Coturnix japonica: one gene and its partners. The protein of the gene in region 3 interacts with the protein of the main gene of each other region in a biochemical or structural test. Links are inferred from orthologs where the notes say so. Each region holds a gene or a part of one and is shown on either strand. Other genes may lie near its edges.

Region 1 (4,288 bases), on a different chromosome or scaffold from region 3:
GGGTGCAGCACTGCTTCCTTCTGAAGCAGATTTGAGTTCTGCCTTACAGACAGATCCTGAAATCAACCTCTCCTTGTTTTCCACAGATCATTACTGATCCACAAAGCCTGCAAAGCAGCATTAACAGCAGAACGTACAAACACCTCAGCTCCCTGCTATTACGCCTGTGATCCATGAGGCATTCTGAAGCCTGACAGCAGTTTGCTGATTCAAGAAGCTCAGGAAAGCCTAGCCTGAATAATTTTAGTCCTTTCCCCTGGAGCAAAGTCATCTCTCTTTCTGTACCAGTGATTTGATGAGCACAGGTGTAGGAGCTGAAACAAAACTCCTTTGGGGTTCAAAGAGATCTCAGCAATCAGCTTTCTTGTATGTCATACAGCTTGTTAGTGGGAGAGCTGACAGAGGTTCCAAGAGTCTGGGAGCTGGGGGCAGCAATAAGTCATGGCTTGGCAGCTGACTGAGCTGAATCCACCCAAAACAGAGGTGTAAACAGCCATCTTATGTATGAAACCTTAAGTATTTCGAGCTCTGGTAATTACTACAGGAACAGAAAAATAACCAGGAGCTTCTGCTGCAGCAATTAGAAAAGATTTAATGCACTAAGAACCATTTTAAAAATGCACATGGGAGGGTAATGAGGAAGAGATACAGCCACTTATTTGGTTAGATGTTAAGAAACCTAGAATTGCTACTCTGAACTGGTCTTCCAGGGGGAAGGAAAGAAGCCAGTTCCTTAGAACAAAACACTGCAAGGACAGAACAGAAATGACATTTGGAGCCATCAAAAGCCTTCAAAACACAAAGAGAGAGTTAAAGTGGAAGAGAGCTTCCATTATCACTTCCATTTTCCTTCCAGTTGGTGCTACTGTGTGTATTTTGATGTCAGAAGTTGCCAGTATAAAATAGAAGTAAAGAACATATCTTCACTTTTGTAGCAGCAGCATCCAGGCTGGAATCCCCATTCTCATACAATTACTTTCTTGCTTTATACCCTAATTAAATCTCATACCATTTGGTGCTTATATGGACCTGAAGTCAACACAACAAGCCATTCCCGAAGCACAGAGACCAAAAGAAGCTCAGGGGGTTATTCACAAACAGCTGGAGTTAATGCAGTACCGCACAATTCCTGTTTGCAGCAACTAGGAGTGTAAAGTTTTCAGTCTGGGAGTTGTTGCTGTTGTTTTCTTAAATAGAAAGAGTTGCTGACTCAACTGCCTTTATATACTTGAAGCCTGAAATGAAAAGCAGACCTGATCACATTGTAATTGGGAGCAACCCCCAGGGAATGATCCAAACAGAAGGATGTAAACGCAACAGAAACATACCCCTAATTAACAAGTTCCACCACTCCTAAACAAAAAAACACGTTTGGAAGGTTGTTACTTTTGCTTCTCAGAGCGCAACCTACAGAAAACATGATGGAGTTAGTCTTTAAACAAATGAAAAGTCAGCAAGCTCAGACCTGCCTGGAAAGCAGCATTCCCAGAACCACATAATGCTCACCAGCAATTCACAGAATCACAGAATGATCCGGGTTGGAAGGAACCTCAAGGATCATGTAGTTCCAACCCCCCTGCCTAGCAGGGCCACCATACGTACACCTTTACTAGATCAGGTTGCCCATGGCCCCGTCCAACCTGGTCTTGAACACCTCCAAGGACGGGGCATCCACAACCTCCCTGGGCAGCCTGTTCCAGGGCCGAACCACTCTCCTAGTAAAGAACTTCCCCCTAACATCCAACCTAAATCTTCCTTCTTTTAACTTAAAACCATTTCCCCGTGTCCTGCTATTGTCAGCCCTTTCAAAGAGTTTACTCCTCTTCTGGGAGTAAGTTCCCTTCCAGGTCATTGGCTCACATAGGAGCATCCCATCCAGGGCTGCAGCAAGGGCACTCGTTTAGCTGCTGTAAGAGATGCCAGTCTTGCCTTACCATCACCTCACCTCAAAGCCCAATCCAAAACACCAACTTCTGAAACAATTTTCTCCATTAAGCAGCCTGACAAAGCTTCAAAGCACACATGATATAAATGCACAGAACTACTTTGGCAGCACTGTTAGCTGCACACAGACTCCAGGATGCTCTACAGCTATGTCTGTTTCCTCATCTCTCTCTGCCATTCGTGTTCATCGCATGAGATGAGTGTATTAAAGGTTGCTGAGGAAGGATGGCTCAGGTGTCTGAAGGGCGTAAGCCTCCCTGCTTAGATATAGAAGGAAAGACTAAAGACACAACCTCGTCATCAGAGATAAGCAAAGGAGCCGGTGAGAGCAGTTTACAAACACAGCATCATGACAAGAGCACACTATTACTAACAGAGTCCCATACAGCTTATGTATGTACAAACTCGAGCCCAGGCCGTGAGCTTCCTGTCACGCTGAATAACAACCTCACACATTCAAGTCAAAGCTCCTGCCTGAGGAGCAGCAGCACCACCAACCCCAACCCTCGGCCTCCAATACAGAGCCCGTAGCTCAGCTCCCTGCAGCCCCCCAACCCCCTGTTACGGAGGGGCACATCCCCGGCTCGCCCCCTGCCCACCTTGTTGTTATACTCCTCTACGAAGCTGCCCAACGCCAGACGGAACCTCTTGTCCGGCCTCACGCTCCAGTTCATGGCGTACACGGTCCATGGCGCCTCGTATTTGTAGATCTCCTTCCTTTTGCCGTGCAGCGACATGGCTCGGCCGAGGGGGCCCCGCTGGGCCTGAGGGGAGCAAGCAGCGGGCTCAGCTGAGATGGGGCCTGGACTGAGCTTGGAGCGCTGGGCCCAGCCGAGGGGAAGGCCAAGGAGCGGGGACCGGAGAGAGACCGGGGCAGGCCGCGCCCCCAGGCCCGGCTCCAGAGCCCGGACACCGCGAGAGAAGCGCGAAGGCCGTTCCCGATTCGGCCCTCACACAACGGGAGCGGAAGCCACGCGATTAGCCCCGCCCTCTGCGTGCTGGTTGGCTGTGTTGATTGTCAATTAACACTTCTATTGGTTCTATTGGGTGCTACTCCTGTCTGTTTGGCCGAATTCAGGCTTGTATTGGTTACTTTGACCATCAATAACAAAGAGAGCCCGCCTCCTTGCCTGTATAACCTACCGTTGAGTTTGAACACGCCTGAGAAGGGAGGCCGCGCTCCTTCTCGACACCTGATTGGCTCCCGGGGGTCGCAGTGGCGGGAGGCGGGTTCTTGCGCCCCATATTGAAATCCGATTGGATGGAAGCGGTGCTAATCAACCTGAACCCGAGGCAGTTAAGGGCAGCCAGCCGGGCTTTCAGTTGTGTCGCGAGTTCGAGTCCCGTCTTCTCCGAGTAGCGGGTGGAGATGAGCTTATCTACAATTACATGACGTTTAATTATGGGGTTTCGTTTCTAATTGTACGCAGCGGCGTTGAGTAGTACCCAGAGCTGTGCACTGCTTCTCACGAAACGCCTGGGCATGCTGAAGCCCGGTGCCTGGCTCTAGCCCTTCCCATTAAGACCCATGGAGACCCCAGACCCAGCTCGGATTATGGGCGCTCCCCCAGCTGCTCATAAAGCCCCGAGGCCTCCTGACAATCTGGGCTGGGGCATGAAAGGGGGATGAGATGTCCCAGCTGCTGCAAGGAGCTGAAACCTGAGCCGGCTTGGATATAAATAGTAGCTTTGTGGGATGGGGGCTGCGGGATGGGGGGGGTTTCCATCCAAAGATCAGCTGGGGAGAGGCACATCTATGCCCTGCCTGGGGGGGATGGGGATGGGGATGGGGATGAGGATGAGGATTCTCAGTGACTTTCAGGTCTCTTTACAGGTCAGCATCTTGCTCTGTGCTTCCCGTGGTGATCCTCCTTACAAACACAGCTATAACTCACATCAGGTGCCAAAAACATCTTTATTAGCAAAGTGTACACTAAAACTCCAGAGAAAGAGATGCTCACAGTTTTACTACTCTCAAAGGGAGCTCAATATGTTACTTGAGCAGGCGGCCTAGGACGGTCACAGCATCTAACCGAATGGCAAGGCAGCAGTGCTAAGTGGGCTTCTCCTATGGGATGCTGCGGGATTCTGCCAGGAAAAGGGCTGAGGAGGAGGAAGCATCTATCAAACCTTTATCAAAAGAGAGAAGCTGGGAGAAAGGACTGGACTTGAAGTGACTAGGACTTTGCAGCTTTTCGGGATTGTGCTTTTGTGTTTTGTGCTTTATGTCCAGGTCGATGACCAGTCAGGTTCATATAGGGATTTGTGGGATGTGTGTTGGGGTTTGCAAGGTGCAGTTGGCCTTGCTGGAGAAGTCAGTGCCCTAGGACTCGTGCTGAAGCGT
Region 2 (4,147 bases), on a different chromosome or scaffold from region 3:
ATATACCACTGAAACAAAAGCACAAGCTCTTTAATATTAATGAGCAGATCTTTGGGATTTTTCTTCTTGTTCTCTTAATAACCTAGGTCTGCAAAGAGAAAAAGACAGTATTGGAAGAAACAGTGCTGAGAGCCCATGTCAAACTCAGCATTTAATTATATATGGAAGATTTCCTAACATACATGTATACGTCATGACACACAAAGCACTCAATGTGTTACAGAGATAGACTTTGGTGAAAATAAATTGCAAATACAGTGAGACGTTATATAAATCGAGAAAGCAAACCACCAGCCAATCTTATTATTTGATTAAGATTTCCATTGTTAAAGTATAACTTCTACTCCACTAAAAGCTTTATTCAATCCTTGTAGATGTTGGCACTGAAAGTAAATTTCTACCTATGGAGAGAGTGTTCAAACAGGCTTAATGATCTATTGATAAGAAATATGTATTCCAGGCTCACAATCACGAGACTTCAAAGTTCAACTGCTTTTTGTTACCCACTGAAATAAAGCTGAAAAAAATCTTTGAGCCTAAAAATTTTCAAAGCCTCATGTAAAGCTCAAGAGTTTGCTAAAACTGAAGTCTAAGACAGAGCAAAATAAAGCAGTAAAAGTTAAATGCATCAGTACACACAGATACTGTTTAAAGGAAGCACAATCCCTTTGGAATCTTCAAAGCCGGATCAGCACATTAACAACAAAATCCTATATGCAATGACAATAAAAAAAACGCATCTTCCCCCCATCCCCACCCCCACTCCCACCCCCACCCCCCTTCAAAAAAGGCACTGACATAAATTGGTTGTTGGTAAGCAGGATGAAGGTCAACTTTAGAATGCAGTGACAGCACCTCCTGCTATAGCTGACTATGGAAAATAAATAACTGCAGAAGCCCAAAGTTACAAGAGCACTAATGGCTAACAGAATCCTGCACACCAGTTACATTTTCACTCTGTAGGCAGTACACAAACGCACAGTCACAGAAGTGGTGGCACAGATACTCTGTGACAGAGTGTTAGCACCTAAGCGGTAAATGAAGCAAACTGAGTGATTTACCTAAGCCAAAGTTAAGTCAGAAATTGATGGGCCACTAGAAAACACTGGACCTTAGCATTCAAAACAGAAAACAAGACCTAAAATAAGAAATTCTTTTAAATGTGCTCTATTAGGCTCCACTGCATCCATGATAGACTTGCTTAGAGCAGCACTCTTTTTTTCTTCAGAAAATTCTCTATTGCACTGTCATAATTGTGTGACATTCCCCACTTCAGCAAACGTACTTTTCTGACTGTAAGTGCAACATAAACACACACTTCAGTGGCAAGATTCATAATACAGTCATCACATCTGTGCACAGAACTCACATTCATCCAGTCCCAGCTGATATGCCAAATTCTGCAGGCCACGAACCTTTTCCATCAGGTTGGCTGTAGTGAGGCTTCCCAGCTCTAAAAGGAAAAAGCGTGATTTTTAACACTGTAGCCCTCTAGTGGCAGCTTATGTTTATCGCTTCACAGAGCATTCAAGTTATACTTTGAACAGTATCGGTTTACAGTGTACAGCATATGTTCTTCAGCTCTCACAACTCATAATAACCAGCAAGACATTCTAACTGTTCCAAAGCAATCAAAAAAAATGAAGAAAAAATAAACAGCAGGGATTTACTGCTTCAAAAAGCAGTAACAAGGAGAACAACAGCATTTTTGTTATCAGTATATATTCTTGTGGGACCAACTAAAGATAGAGGCAATTGACAAGACAAAGACTCCTAAGCAGAATCATTCAACTGGAGATGTTCTGCAGGTTAAGATGGTCTGCAGATTAAGAGGAGCATCCCCCATCCCTTCCTTTCCACAAGGCTTCAGAAGGTCTCTGAGCTCATCTTTTTAGTAGGCACTGAATTCCCACCCGCAGACAGCCTCAGTGCCCATGGAGCCCATACTCACCCTTTAACATATCGATATCATCATTCTCCAGTTCAGCCATCCATTTGGGAGGCGAGCTTGTAATAGGCTGGTTTGGGGGGGAGGAAAAAGAAAAAGAACAAAAAGAAAGGAAGAAAAAAAAGCAAAACATTCTCAGAGAAGTACATTTTTAGCTGCATACAAAGCCTGATATAGCATTTACACACACAGAATTGTAGGGGTTGGAAGGGACCTCTAGAGATCATCGAGTCCAACCCCCCTGCCAAAGCAGGCTCCCTACACCATGTCACACAGGTAGGTGTCCAGGCGGGTCTTGAATATCTCCAAAGAAGGAGACTCCACCACCTCCCTGTGCAGCCTGTTCCAGTGCTCCGTCACCTATTTACAACCAGTTACACTGAAAGAATAAACGCGATGGCTCCAGGCACCCTACAGGGCTACTCTAATGCCTAGAAAGCTCTTCCTGGACGAGTTGGGTGTTACTGCAAGTCACAGCCAAAGCCAGCAGTAAGAGCAGCACCCCCAGGGCTTAGAGCAGCGCGTTCCTGCGCAGCTCGTCCCTCCCGCAGTGCCTGTATGACCCGCAGTGCCGTGGTGTTGGCATCTTACGCTTTTGAAGGAGGCGGCGAACTCGGCGACGCCGGGCACTGCAAGAGAGAACCGAACAGCGCCGGGTGAGCGCGGGGCCGGCCCGGCAGCCCCGCCATCACCCCAGCGACACGGGCCCGCCGCACTCACTCACACTGCTCAGGCCACAGGTCCGGAGAAGCCCGGTCGAGCTTCTCGAAGCTCAGCAGAGAGGCTTCCAGATCGGCACCTACAGCACAGGGAGTAGAACGGAGGTGAAGCGGCGCCCGCTCAGACCGTACCGCAGGGTGACGATGACCCCATTCGCGCGCCTTACCGTCACCGGGAGCCGCCATCTTGCCTGCGTCACGTGACCTAAACCCACAGCCCGCGGGAATCCACCCACGTGACAACAGAGCCCGAGCGCCTTAGTGCTCGTGGCCAATCGCTGCCCCGGATGGGGGGGCGGTGGCGGGAAAGGGGCGGGGCGACGCTCTCCCTGGCAGCGATTGGCTGGCGGCCGGCAAGGCCCCCTCGGGGGGGGCGTACAGCGGGCGGGGGGGGCGCTCGTCTGGCCAATGAGCGGGCGGGGGCGGGTCCCTGTGCTGGGGGCTCCGCTCGGGGTCCGAGCGCTGTGACCCTCGGCCGGGATGGCGGCGGTGGCTCGTGGCGCTTGGGGCGGGCGGCGCGTGGTGCTCAGGGTGAGGCGGCACACGGACACAGCGCTGCGGGAGGGGCCGCGGGTGGCACCTCGGGGGGCGGTGGGGAGGAGGTGGGGGGTGTGGAGGAGGAGGGGAGCACCGTGTAACCGGGCTGCTCTGTGTCCACATCCAGCTGCCGCGGACAGCCGGGGCTCCCTGGATCGCTTCGGCCGCCGTCTCCTCCTCCTCCGTGGTGAGTGGGGCCGGGCAGCTCTGTTTGCTGTTGGGCTGGAGGGGCCCGCGGCGGTGGCTCCGCCGGGCCGAGGAGCAGCTCGGATTTCCTGCTCTCCCTTCAGTTCTGAAGATGGTGTTATCCCGAGTGCAGCCCGCGGCACGGCTCGTCCCGCCGTAACGCCAGCCACATCAGCACTTGTCATGTCTTATTCTTATTTTAACCCACCGCCGCGTTCCTTCACAAGCCGAGGCCTCGCTTATCCATTACACTCTTCGCAGCCGTGACCTGTCCGGCTCAGCCCCATTTATTTTCCTGATTCGTCCTTTGATCCCTCTCCCACCATCACAGCAGCATTAGCATCCCTGCCCTCACCAGGTGAACTGCCCGGTGGATGAGGGAAAGGCTGTTGGCACAGTCTACCTAGACTTCAGCAAAGCCTTTGGCACTATATTCCAATCTCTTCACTTATATGGCCCCAGTTCTTCCTGCATGTTGCAGCACTAACTGCATCTTCTACCCCTGCTTTTTCTTCTCCATACTTACCTGAACTCCTTAACTAATGGGCAGAATTCTTACCAAGTGAATTATTAACTGGTTTCTTTTAAATATGTCTGTGAACTGCAGGGTTTTTATGACTTAGCAATTGTAGTGACTGAGTAGATTAAAATAGTTCTGAACATGATTCTATCAATGTGTATCTTCTGTAATAGTTTTTAGACGGGGTTTTGACAATTTTAGCCTAAATCAAGGGGAAAAAAATGATGGAGTACAGTG
Region 3 (3,646 bases):
CGGAACACCAACTTCAGAGGTGTCTCACTGAATCTGACAAGAAAATTTGCACAGCAAATGTGCACTGCACTGCTTTTTCTGGCGACTCCTGAACTTAGTATCATTCACTGTGACCTAAAACCTGAGAATATCCTGCTCTGTAACCCCAAACGAAGCGCCATCAAGATTGTTGATTTTGGCAGTTCTTGTCAACTTGGGCAGAGGGTAAGTATTGGTAAAAATGATTTGCTGATTGCGCTGTTACCGGATACATACAATAAACATGATATTTGAAAGTTATAGTACTTGATAGCTAATTCAAACTTTAGCAGTGATGACTTAAATTAATTATTGATTTTATTAAATTAAATGAATTTAATTTAATCTAATTAATTATTGAATAAGGTGTTGGATATTGGCAGGCATTAGGTGCTTTAGATAGCAATTTAAATGCCATAGTAGATAAACACTCCATCTTCTTTTTCTCTTTGGTAATACTTTTATAATGCAGAATGCATCAGCACTTTATTGTAGAACTCTGCAGAGCTCTCTGCTCTTAAATATGTTTTTTTATTATCTTCTTACTCCATAATGGTGGTATAAATATGAGTAAAGACATGTGAAAAGGTTTTCTAGGGCAAAGGGGCACATTGTTTTATTTAGATTAGGATAGAACTATAATATTAATTATGAAAAAAAATAAAATAAAAATTGTAGTTGTGTCCTGTTGTTCATATGCTTTGATGATGAGCTGTTGAAAATCTTTCCGGTATAGTTCTTTATTTACTTTAAGATATGTTAAAATATATACAACAGCCATTAAGTCCATAAACAATTCTTCTTGGCTGCCAAAGATGCTTTTTATTTAGGGGGGTAAAGGGGGTGGGGGGTGGGGAGATGGGGTGGAGGGAAGAAGGATAACATTGCTCAGATATTTAATTTTTACTGTGAGTTCACTAAAAACTTCATCAGAACGCACTGTTCAGTGTGCAAGGTATAGTCTAGTTCAGAAGAGAGTACAGACTCTTCTGGTTAAGTGAATCCTATCTGGCCTGAGTGACCACTTCTATTTGGGATACCTTAGTATTAGTCATTGGCATTGAAAACAAAGTGTTAGCTAGAGAGGTAGGGAAAACTTCTGTAGACAGAAGTCTGGCTTCCAAATCTTTTTGAAAAGAAGTTTTTGGTCTAGGATTAAGATAGAATTTTCTGTCTTGTGAAATGAGCAGGATAGCGGAGGGTGTAGCTTCTTGTTCCATGTGGAATCACAGTAATTTCATCTGATTTCATCATATCAAAACTGTGACTTTTGATTTTTATTTTTTCTTTTAAACCACAAGTTTTGTCAGAAATGCTGTGTAATTCTCATGTGGCTCATAGAATAGCTTTTCTCTTGGTGTAAGCAGACCAAAGTTCTGTTGTATAGTTAGCTGTAATTGCATGAGATTACCTTTGTTAACCATAAAGTATAAAATGTTGTCATCATGAGTGAATCTGCCCTTTTTTTTTGTTTAATAACCAGAAGCTAGTGTTTTCTTAAGAATTATCATCTAAATATTTTTATAAATTTATAGTGTAGTTTTAGCATTACTGAAATTTTGTCTTTGCTTTCCCTACTGTGAAAGTGTATTCTATGATAATTCCATTTTGTAATACAGAATAGTGCTCTTTGAATGCTATGTACTATTTTAAATTGTTTTATTTCAGATATACCAGTATATCCAGAGTCGTTTCTATCGATCACCAGAGGTGCTACTGGGAATGCCTTATGATCTTGCAATTGATATGTGGTCCCTTGGGTGTATTTTAGTTGAGATGCACACTGGAGAGCCTCTTTTCAGTGGTGCAAATGAGGTATGAAGCTATTATACAGTACATGTAATTTGATTTTTTTGGTTCTTTCTCACTGTGATATTAATCTGTCTTATTTTTATGCATAAATTAGGAAACACTAATAATTCTAAGATCAGAAAACATCAATGATAGCAATGCCTTTTAGAACTCTAACATATAATATATTCTGTTTCACGGTACCCTTCCCCTTTGTTTAGTTAATATTGTATTTTTCTTAAACTTGCAATTAGTTCACAACTTAATGTGTATGGGTAGTTAACATTTGCTTTTCACATGATTATATAGAGTATTGGACTCTTACTGCATTGTTCAGCTCTATGTCTCATGTTATTCATGAATATTCTTCATGTGGAACAGGTGGATCAAATGAATAAAATAGTGGAAGTTCTGGGGATTCCGCCTGCCCATATCCTTGACCAAGCACCAAAAGCAAGAAAGTTCTTTGAGAAGTTGCCAGATGGCACTTGGAACTTGAAGAAGACCAAAGATGGAAAAAGGGTAAGTTACGTAATCAATATGAAAATACAGAAAATACATTAAAAAGATAAAAATAAAAATAATAATAATAAAAAAGAAGTGGTGATATGTTACGTTGTTTTACATTATCTTACCAAAAGCATGGCTGTATTGTTTATTATCATTGTTCGGTGTCATAAGACAGGGCAATTAAGTGACAATTTACATAGTATTTAATAGTTTCTTACTTTGATCTGGCTGACTTATTTTATGACAAAATTAAACCATGAATTGAAGTGGCTTAATATATGTGACTTGGTTTTCCAACAGGAATACAAACCACCTGGAACTCGTAAACTTCACAATATACTAGGAGTTGAAACAGGAGGACCAGGTGGACGTCGTGCTGGGGAATCGGGTCATACTGTAGCTGACTACTTGAAGTTCAAAGACCTCATCTTAAGGATGCTTGATTATGACCCTAAGACACGAATTCAACCTTATTATGCCCTACAGCATAGTTTCTTTAAGAAAACAGCAGACGAAGGTACCAACACAAGCAACAGTGTGTCTACGAGTCCTGCTATGGAGCAGTCGCAGTCTTCAGGAACCACCTCCAGTACATCTTCAAGCTCAGGTGAGGATTTCCCCTTAATGGAACAGAAAATTATATTTCTGAATCACATCAAAGGAGACTTTCACAGGTAAAAGTCATATCACTGTCAGTCACAGTCATTGAAAGCATTTATATATTATCTAGAACAGGAAAGTGCTCTAACAAAAAAAAAAAAAAAAATCAGCAGATTTACACAACTGTGAGTGATTATCATAGGTCCTGTGTTCGAATCAGTTCAAATCTTTATGCTGTTGTTGTCTGCGACCTTCTGTAAATTTTTTCTCTTGTTGTGTTGCTATGATTTTTATAGGTGGATCTTCTGGAACAAGCAACAGTGGAAGGGCACGGTCAGACCCCACACACCAGCATCGACATAGTGGTGGACACTTCACTGCTGCTGTTCAAGCTATGGACTGTGAAACACACAGCCCACAGGTATGCTGAAGTAGAGCTTTTGTCTGTTTGATGTATATATTTTTTCTGAGAGTGTTGAATCCCTGAAACTAATTATATTAGGTTTACATGACAGGGATTCATGTCATGAGTGGAGGGGGGATGCACAGGTGTCGTCTGGGAAAAATCTAGGAGCTGACCCAAGTTAGATAAGAGCAAGCTCCATCTGGCTTAAAAAAGGGACCAGCTGTTGGCCAGAACTGAGCCAAGAAGTGACACTGGTTGCACCTCTGTGGTAGCAGATTCAAGAAAGGGGAAAAAAAAGACTGTACAGCAGCAACTGGGAGA

The links.
Region 1: the proteins of DYRK1A (region 3) and DCAF7 form a complex in vitro, tested with the Homo sapiens proteins (2 studies listed by BioGRID). The link is inferred for Coturnix japonica from reciprocal best matches to the Homo sapiens genes DYRK1A and DCAF7.
Region 2: of the proteins of DYRK1A (region 3) and LIN52, one has a biochemical effect on the other in vitro, tested with the Homo sapiens proteins (3 studies listed by BioGRID). The link is inferred for Coturnix japonica from reciprocal best matches to the Homo sapiens genes DYRK1A and LIN52.

What each region holds. Positions count from the first base shown.
Region 1 is NC_029542.1:2,158,058-2,162,345, reverse strand, and holds the start of DCAF7 (DDB1- and CUL4-associated factor 7), read right to left. Parts: upstream 2,923-4,288; 5' UTR 2,682-2,922; coding exon 2,544-2,681; intron 1-2,543. UniProt on the Homo sapiens protein: Involved in craniofacial development. Acts upstream of the EDN1 pathway and is required for formation of the upper jaw equivalent, the palatoquadrate. The activity required for EDN1 pathway function differs between the first and second arches.
Region 2 is NC_029520.1:34,237,052-34,241,198, reverse strand, and holds the start of LIN52 (protein lin-52 homolog), read right to left. Parts: upstream 2,946-4,147; 5' UTR 2,854-2,945; coding exon 2,835-2,853; intron 2,748-2,834; coding exon 2,673-2,747; intron 2,578-2,672; coding exon 2,540-2,577; intron 2,019-2,539; coding exon 1,952-2,018; intron 1,454-1,951; coding exon 1,370-1,453; intron 89-1,369; coding exon of another isoform or gene 75-88; exon of another isoform or gene 1-74. Other genes in the region: ALDH6A1 (methylmalonate-semialdehyde dehydrogenase [acylating], mitochondrial), read left to right, coding at 3,148-3,198, 3,332-3,391.
Region 3 is NC_029516.1:96,481,909-96,485,554, forward strand, and holds part of DYRK1A (dual specificity tyrosine-phosphorylation-regulated kinase 1A), read left to right. Parts: coding exon 1-204; intron 205-1,686; coding exon 1,687-1,833; intron 1,834-2,190; coding exon 2,191-2,331; intron 2,332-2,619; coding exon 2,620-2,926; intron 2,927-3,215; coding exon 3,216-3,340; intron 3,341-3,646. UniProt on the Homo sapiens protein: Dual-specificity kinase which possesses both serine/threonine and tyrosine kinase activities. Exhibits a substrate preference for proline at position P+1 and arginine at position P-3.